2 linked regions of the Neurospora crassa OR74A genome follow. The protein of the gene in region 1 interacts with the protein of each later gene in a biochemical or structural test. Links are inferred from orthologs where the notes say so. Each region holds a gene or a part of one and is shown in the gene's direction. Other genes may lie near its edges.

Region 1 (2,933 bases):
GAGGAGCTACTGGATGCCTCTGACGACGGTGCCTTCATCTCGGTATTAAAGAATTATTTTGCTCGGCTGGATGAGTCGGCACACCCCAAGTCGGAGAATCCGAAGCTGAGAGCTGTTACCAGGTTTCAGGAGTTAATGGTGGTGGCATTCAAGGAATTCTCTGGCATCACACACAGCACCATCACAGAGCTGCGCCTCAAGAACAAGGACGCAGTGTTGAACAACATTGAGAGCTTTGCCAAACGGACGGCCATTCGGAACCTGGGCCCGGAAAGCAAGCTTCTTAGCACCGATGAGCTCGGTGCGGTATACGATAGGTTTTACGGTGTGTTGTACGAGAGGCAGCAACGGGATCTCATCATCAAGCAGGAAGAGGCAAGGAGAGCCAAGAGCAACAGGATATCGAGAATCGGCCAAGTGGTGGACGAGGGGAATGTTGAAAAGGGGCGAGTTGGGCTGGGCCCGAGCACAAGCCTGATGGATTACGATGCCTTCAGAGAGTTCCTCGCGGGTATCGCTAAGTGGGCTGTTTCGGACTCCCCCACTCAGTCTCGCCGTGACACGGGTTCCAGTAACGGGGGAGGGTTCTACAACAGTTTCCGGAAGAACGAATCATCCATGTCTCCTTGGGGCAATGGTCCTGAACCAGCAGATCACGAGTTCCTCCAAAGGCTGTTCAGGAAATGGGACTTTGATTCCAGCTCCGCGCTCACCCTCCAGAACGTCGTTACTGGCTTGGCCCGCATCAAAGGAAAGCGTGATATCATGGGAACGATTAACTACTTCTTTGAACTGCATGACGATGATGGAGACGGCAAGGTTGATCGTGAAGGCATATTGCGCATGTCCGAGGCTTTGCTCTTTCTATCACGTCGGGGATTGGAGGGTACACTGGATCGTGCAACAGCACCTAACGGGATGATGACTGAGGGCATGGTGACCCCTGGAAATGAAGTGCCCGACCAATCTGTTAACGAGAGATTTCTCGGGAGCGTCAGTGCATTTATCAGGAGGTGCTTTGAGTACGCAGACCCAGACCATCCCAACAACCAAAACAGCCAGCAACCACCACAACAACAGACGACGTCTCGTCAGGAAGAAAACCTGATCTCCATTGATGACGACGATGCCGCCCAGGGCTTGGCAGACCCTGATGCCTTTGCCATTGGTGACGACGACGACGACTTTGACGAAGAGAACGATGACGATCTCCTAGCCATGGACTCCCCAATCGCCAGCCCGCGCCCAGCCAAGCGCTCCGAGGACACCGCCACTTCGAGCCTGCAACCGCCATCCTCGCTGCATCTCGACCCATCCACCGCGCCCTCGTCCATCTCCAACAACGACGAAGACCGCCGCCGCCGCGTCTCGCGCCAGCAGTCGGAAAAGGCCAACATCGCCCTCGACCCCAACAACCCTTTGCACATCACCCTGCCCACCTTCCGCATGGTCGTCCTGGCCGACGAGCTCCTCGAGCAATTTTTCGAGTCATCCTTCCCGTGCTCGTTCCACCTCGTAGAGGGCATCAACATGTCTAGCGGCAACTCTTCCAACGCCGCCTCGTCGTCCTACGGCGTGGGCGGTCTAGGAAGCACCTTCTCCCACATGGGCTTCTTCGGCGGCGCCGGCGGAGCAAACAGCCAGCAGGGAGGAGCAGGTGCCGGACGCGGTCTAAGAGGCGTACTGGACAATATCGTCACGGATGGAATGCGTGTCGCGGCGGAGGTGAGGAGGCGCATGGAGGAGGCGCAGAGAGAGCTGGAGAAGAATGCGCTGCCAGGGCAGCACAAGCCGGGCGGCGCGAATCGTGGTGGTGGCGATGATGACGATGATGACGAGGATGATGGGGGGCCTGTTGAAGGGTTGTCGCTTGGCGGTAATGGGAATGGTTCTGGCGGCGCGGGAGGGTCGGCGGCGGGGATGAGAAGTGGAGGAGTGAGGAGTTCGGATAGAGATTTATTGACGGGGGCGGATGCAGAGGCTAGTGATCCTACTGCTGAGGCTCAGCTGCAACAAGGGAGTGGTGGTAGTTTGGGAGGAGGAGATGAAGCGAATGTCGGTGGTACGGCCAAGGTTGTGGGCGTCGAGTTTGACGGTTAGGAACCGTTGGACAAGAACATGATTTGACATTATGGTGGCCCCTTTTGTTGGGGTTTCTGTGCGTGGTTCAGGCATCTTAAGAGGTATACTTTACTGTGGATTGTGCATGGGGTATTATTGCCAGGTCATATGAAGGGCTCAACCGTCTTCTGTTTTTGTTTTTTGTTTTGCCTTTAGTCTACTAGGTCCGCAAACTTACTAGGGAGTTTGGTTCAACGTGTCTTTTTGGTTATTGTAACTGGCAAGGAGGTCATCATTCTGAAGGGTTTTTTTTTTCTTTTTCATTTTAGGCATTTTCTTAGTTTTACAATAGGTGACAATCATATCAGTCCCAGTAATGATGTTTGTGATTGAGTATGAAGTGAGTTCCCACAGAGGATACAGTTCACAATCCCTTTCTTTGAATCACCAGCCAGTATGAAGACCAGAACGATACATGTAAACCAAAAAAGAAAAAAAATGGTATATTCATTTCACGCCATTCTAAGCACACCAAAGATCGCTTCTATATAATGCACAACGTCCCCTCCTTTTTCCTCTCTGCTCCAGTCAAACAAAGCCACACATTTACTGAGCAAACTCGCTCTTCTCGTTGACATAAAGATCAACATACTCATCAACCGACATAGCCTCCAACTCCTTAGGGTTCTGGCCAAGAGCAACCAGCTTCTCAACCTTGTCGGCGCTGAAGTGGGGCTCCAAGTGACGCTTGTACTTGGCCAGGATATGGGGCTTGGCCTCCTCGCGACGGAGGCGGTGGCCGAGGGGCGCCTCGACGACGACCTCGTCAAGGAAGGTGCCATCGTTCAGTTCGACGGTGAGACCGTTGGAGA
Region 2 (5,458 bases), on another chromosome or scaffold:
CGACAGCATCATCGACTGGATTCAGAACCTCGGCATTACCGTTCGTGACTTTTGGTTCAATTGGGTCATCGAACCCATCCGCAAGGTCATCGGCACCATCCGCCATGACACCAACAGCGAGATTGCCATCATGAGCCGCGACAGTCTCAAGGCGGACAGGGAGAGTCTGGAACGCATGGTGGTCGAGTTCACGCTGGATAACCCCAGTGTGGCCGTCGGGTCGCCCAACGTTACCGACCTCCAGATTGCTGATATCCGTGCAAAGGTCAGGGAGGGAGATGTTACGCCTATCTTGAAGGCTTATGAGAAGGGCCTCCGTCGTCCCTTGGTCGGCGCCGTCAGCGGTGACCTGGTCCGCTCGCTGCTGATCCAAGTGCAGAAGACCAAGGTGGATTTAGAGGTGGCTATCAGTGGTATCGACTCGCTTCTCAAGAGCCAGGAATTGCTCTTTGGGTTTGTCGGTCTGGCGCCCGGGGTTGTTGGTAAGTTATTTTGCTCGACTCTTGTCTGAGAAACGTTGAATGCCACTGCTAACTCTCAAATACAGTCTCCATCGGCATCGTCCAATACCTCAGGACCGTCTTTGGCAGCCGCAAGGGACTCCGCAGAGGAGAAAAGGTTCGTCGTATCGTCAGGGTACTCAGAAACATGGACAGAATCCTGGCTGCGGGCGCTACCAATCCCAAGGGCGGGCTCAAGTACAAGGACCGCGGGCTGTTGCTTTGCGAGGCGCATGTGCTGCGCGAACTCGCTACTGAAGTGCTCCCTGGAGACATCCGGCGCGAGTTCCTGGAGGATCTGGAGGATTTGACGAGTGTGAAGAATGTCGTTCTTCAAGAAAAGGCTCTGCAGAGGATTCGGTGGGCATACGCCGATTGGCTGGGCAAGAAATAGATGGCTGTCAGAGTTTCATCAATCCTCTATCCCGAGATCCCCAGCGCGGGAGTTGGTGAATGGCGGTAAGCGTTTTGTATTGTTAGTTGGGCTGTGATGTGATATGATCAGTGTACTTTAGTAAATAGCGACTAGATCTTCCATGATTCTTCTGTTTGTATGAAATAGCTATAAGGACTTGGAGTTTTGAGAATGCACGGGGGAGATGGTGCCGGTGATATGGCAGAGGTGAGCAGGTGCAGGAAGTACCGGGCCTAAACACCAAAACAGAGTTGTCTACTAACCCCTTAAACACGGTGGATACCTACCTACCTATGTGCCTATAGGCGGCGACGTTTAGTCCACGTAGTGTGAAAACACCCCACGGGCATGTTGCTGGACTTTTTCACGCTTCACGCAGGGGCATAACCAGGGTGCAGGGTCACCCAGGGGCCGCCTTTCGTGTGGCGGGAGGGCAGGAAAAGGCTTTGGTGGAAGAGATCATTGGGCCAATATGAGTTATAGATCCATCAACGGATACTGCGTCTCGTGCGTATAGACTGTTCACCGCCCTGCCCGCCTTTCTCACCATGTTGCTGTGAGACCGCCCAGTCGCCTGTGTCTGCAGCTTCAGCTGGCCTTTCACGATACTCCATTTTGTTGAAGAAGCCAAGAAAACCCCTTAATCAACTTTCCTGGTAAAACAAACAAATAAAGACAGCTGGTCTTCTGTTGGATGCGCGAATGAACGGATGGTCTCGTTTGGTCTCGAGGCTCACCTTCTTCCGCGACCTCAGATATTAGTGGCAGAGCTCCCTCCCTGGTTCCTGAATCTTGGGTTGCATTCGTTGAGAGTGCAGTTGAGTTGTCTCTTTCTCACTCCGGTTTCCTAGACACTTTGCGCCATGCACAACAACTTGTCCTTCGAGCTCATCCTGTCATTCATAACACATTGGTATCTCTATCTACTGCAAGGTTGAAAGGGACACAAAGAATGGAATATCAGGTGGAGTTGTTGCGGCGATTGTAGGTTCTAGAAACTTGACCGATTACGTACCGAACAGTCGCGTCCCCTAGACCACGATCACGCGCTGCAATAAGCGTTCTTCCACTAGAGTGGAGGTACAGGTGTAAAGGGCACAGATAACCCCCCATCCCATACATAGTGTAGCCCGCGACTCGGTAGCACTTCAGGCAAGTGCGTCAACCCTCACATTGTACCTCTATGGTGGTGATCGCGTTGCCCGGGCTCTGGACTTCCACTTGCCCTGCGCTTTGGGACCCAGGTTAGCATTGATTAGATAGTATCAGACATCAGGGGCATCTGAGACATTCCAGTTTTCTTGGTTCCTTCCTCTCCACGCAGGGAGGTCTTGGACAAGTGGAAGCTACAAGACCCCTTTCTGCCTTCCCCGTCCTCGTCATTGTTCGCCTTTCCATTGGATCTCCGCACGGCATCGCCCCGTAAAGTTGGAGGGAGAGAGAGCCCAGGTACGCACTGCCCGCAGCCCAGTAGCCGGCCAGCCAAGTCTACCTTAGTGCAGGAGTAGGAGACCCCATCGCGCTCTCGCCTGTTTGTTCGTTCTGCGACTCCTCCTCCGCTGGACTACTACCTAACCCGTGCAACCGCCCTGCAGTTTTGACAGGCCCGTCAACGTCGCACTGCGGACACGCTTTCAACTACCACCACCACTGCATTCCACCACCACTCACTCACTCACCTACACTACCTACCTACAACTGAACATCATTCCTGCTCTGTCGCCTGTTTCCTGAACTGCGCATCGTCACCACCATTCGAGCCTCCAGTCTCCATCCCCATTCCCTTTCCCGCAACTACCAGTGTACAACAGCCCGACGATTTCGAAACGCCGGATTTCGATTGATATCCCCTTTGCCGAATTCCGGAGTCCGAACTACCAGAGAAACATTCCAAGAGATCGAAACGACGGGCGGCGGCGTTAACCCCCACACCAGTTCATCATGTCGAGTAACAGGAATTACGATTTTCTGGTGAGTCTTTCCTTCACCTCACCGCTCGCACTCTCGCGACATTCCTTGTGTTCCCCCCCTCCCCCGTAGTGGGTTTGGCGAGGTTATTCTGTTTCCAGACGCTGACCGGAGATACCGCTTCACGACATAGATCAAGCTGCTCTTGATCGGAGACTCGGGCGTTGGCAAGTCCTGCTGTCTGTTGCGCTTTAGCGAAGACTCATTCACACCGTCATTTATCACCACCATCGGTATCGACTTCAAGATCCGCACAATCGAACTCGATGGCAAGCGGGTGAAGCTACAGATATGGGATACCGCCGGTCAAGAGCGTTTCCGTACCATCACGACGGCATACTACAGAGGCGCCATGGGCATTCTTCTCGTTTACGACGTGACGGATGAAAGGTCATTCAACAGTACGTGAACCCACATTCCCATCCCGCATAAAATGGCATGACAGTTGCGGTCAAGAGGTGGTCCTTGAGGTCACGCTCGAAATGCGATGGATTGGTGCCTTTTAGATGCCATGCCTCTCCATTGCTCCGGATTCTGGCATCAGCAATCTCCCATCGGATACCATGCCATGTATTACCTCGCTCCTTTGCTGACGTGACCTTCTCTTCGCAGATATCCGTACCTGGTTCGCCAACGTGGAGCAACACGCGACGGAAGGAGTCAACAAGATTCTCATTGGAAACAAGTGCGACTGGGAGGAAAAGAGGGCGGTTTCCAAGGAACAAGGCCAAGCGCTAGCCGACGAGCTTGGCATTCCCTTCCTCGAGGTTTCGGCCAAGGCGAACATCAACATCGAAGAGGCCTTCTTCAGCCTCGCCAACGACATCAAGAAGCGCATCATCGACACATCCGGCAAAGAGGCGTCTGGCGGCTCGTCGGGCGTGAACGTCAGCGACAACAGCGGGTCAGGATCCGGCGGCAAGTGCTGTTAAGCCAAACGGGTAGCAGTTGTGTGGCGGCGAAACCCGACCCTGGAGCTCGCAAAAAAAAAAAAAAAAAAGCCCGCTGACAATCACGATGGCGATACGAGATCCGATTTATCCTCCCGAAGTATGGATGACAGCAGTCTGGCCTCATTCAGTTCTATTTGGCTACAGCCTACGTCTATCGAACATGCACCTGTCTTCCTGCGGGCCACCAATATGCACGGCCGGGTCTACCGCATGGAAACAAAGAGGCGGTGTAGGGGAGAAAGAGGGTATCTTCGGTCTCAAGACTTTACTATGGTTGTAATGAAGCTAAGGTCCAAGAGGAAAAGACGGCTTTAGTTATTCTGGAGGGCTCATTGAAAACCCCTTTCTTGTCACTCGGGAGCAGGAGGGAGAAGCGGCGCGGAAGATACGACGCGTGCTCATTTCCGGCTTCTCGCTATTGGGTCTATTATTATTGCGCTCTAGAAGCAGTGGATGGTAGGATGGATAGGCTAGGGAGCTGAGGACATCAACGACGATACGGAGACATGTGAGTATTACGACCGGCTTGATCGATATAGATGGATTGAGGTTGGGTTGGCAGCATGGACGAGGGGCAGAGAGCGAAACGAAACATTCTGGTCACGGAGTTTGGGTGCGATCTTTGGCTCTTCCTAATATATTTCATTTTCTTCTCTCTTGACTGTTTCCCCTTTGTTGTTCTCTTTCTGGTTTGTAGATTTCGTGCGCGGCCCCCCTTATAGCTGTATCTCCAAAGTATGACGATACGACACCCATAAAACAAAACATAGATAGATATTCCCTGAAAAGATGGGGACGCCCTGGTCAACCATGGCTAGTGTAGAGTATCAAGACGTATGACGTGAGCGATAACATTGTTGACATGAGCCACGAATCCACAAGAGGTGCTCTTTTACTCTTTCGGGAAACGAGCACAAAGAACGGGATAGATGTGGTCTGTGCGTTGCTCAACTTCCACTTGTCGGTCCCTTCGGTCTGACTGTTTACATAGTGCCGAGGAAGCCACCACTGCACTGCGGCATGCCACCACGCTCACTACAGGACCCATACTCGAGGGTGATGGGTGCCTTCTGGCTCTGGGCGCCAAGGCTCTTCCACCCCCTCCCTATAGGAGAGGGGGTGGATAAAATATGGGATAGTAAATTAATTTGGGACAGTAGCGAAATATACTATGTAGATTCGCCAATTAACGCCCTGTAAAATCACTCTTTTATATTGTAATATTCGCGCAACGACATTATTACCTTGTGACTACATTTCGCATTCCTATCGCCTTAAAGCTATAAAATAGTAAGAATCTATATATCTATAGATTAATAGAGAATAGCTATTAACTTACTATACTAATAACTAACAGACTCCCCGACCCCGCTAGTTTATCTAGTACCTATACCTATTTAGCTTCACAAAAACAGCGAAACCCCTCATCAATCAGAATTATTGCGGCATATACTAGGTAATCTCGTATATCTATCACTCGTTATACAAAGTTGTTACGTAAGGAGGGTAGAACCGCTATATCGACTCGTCCGCGGGATCGACTATACATATTAATAAATAAGGAGGAGGATGCTCTCGTCGTATATACTATATTTTACTTCAAGGGAAGGTTTCCAACGTTG

Evidence for each region.
Region 2: of the proteins of NCU00681 (region 1) and NCU06404, one has a biochemical effect on the other in vitro, tested with the Saccharomyces cerevisiae proteins (2 studies listed by BioGRID). The link is inferred for Neurospora crassa OR74A from reciprocal best matches to the Saccharomyces cerevisiae genes MDR1 and SEC4.

The regions. Positions count from the first base shown.
Region 1 is NC_026501.1:7,577,825-7,580,757, forward strand, and holds the end of NCU00681 (GTPase activating protein), read left to right. Parts: coding exon 1-2,100; 3' UTR 2,101-2,433; downstream 2,434-2,933. Other genes in the region: NCU00680 (2-methylcitrate dehydratase), read right to left, coding at 2,668-2,933.
Region 2 is NC_026504.1:2,622,439-2,627,896, reverse strand, and holds NCU06404 (GTP-binding protein), read left to right. Parts: upstream 1-2,188; 5' UTR 2,189-2,856; coding exon 2,857-2,886; intron 2,887-3,016; coding exon 3,017-3,284; intron 3,285-3,495; coding exon 3,496-3,815; 3' UTR 3,816-4,682; downstream 4,683-5,458. Other genes in the region: NCU06403 (hypothetical protein), read left to right, coding at 1-482, 548-894. UniProt on the Saccharomyces cerevisiae protein: Involved in exocytosis. Maybe by regulating the binding and fusion of secretory vesicles with the cell surface. The GTP-bound form of SEC4 may interact with an effector, thereby stimulating its activity and leading to exocytotic fusion.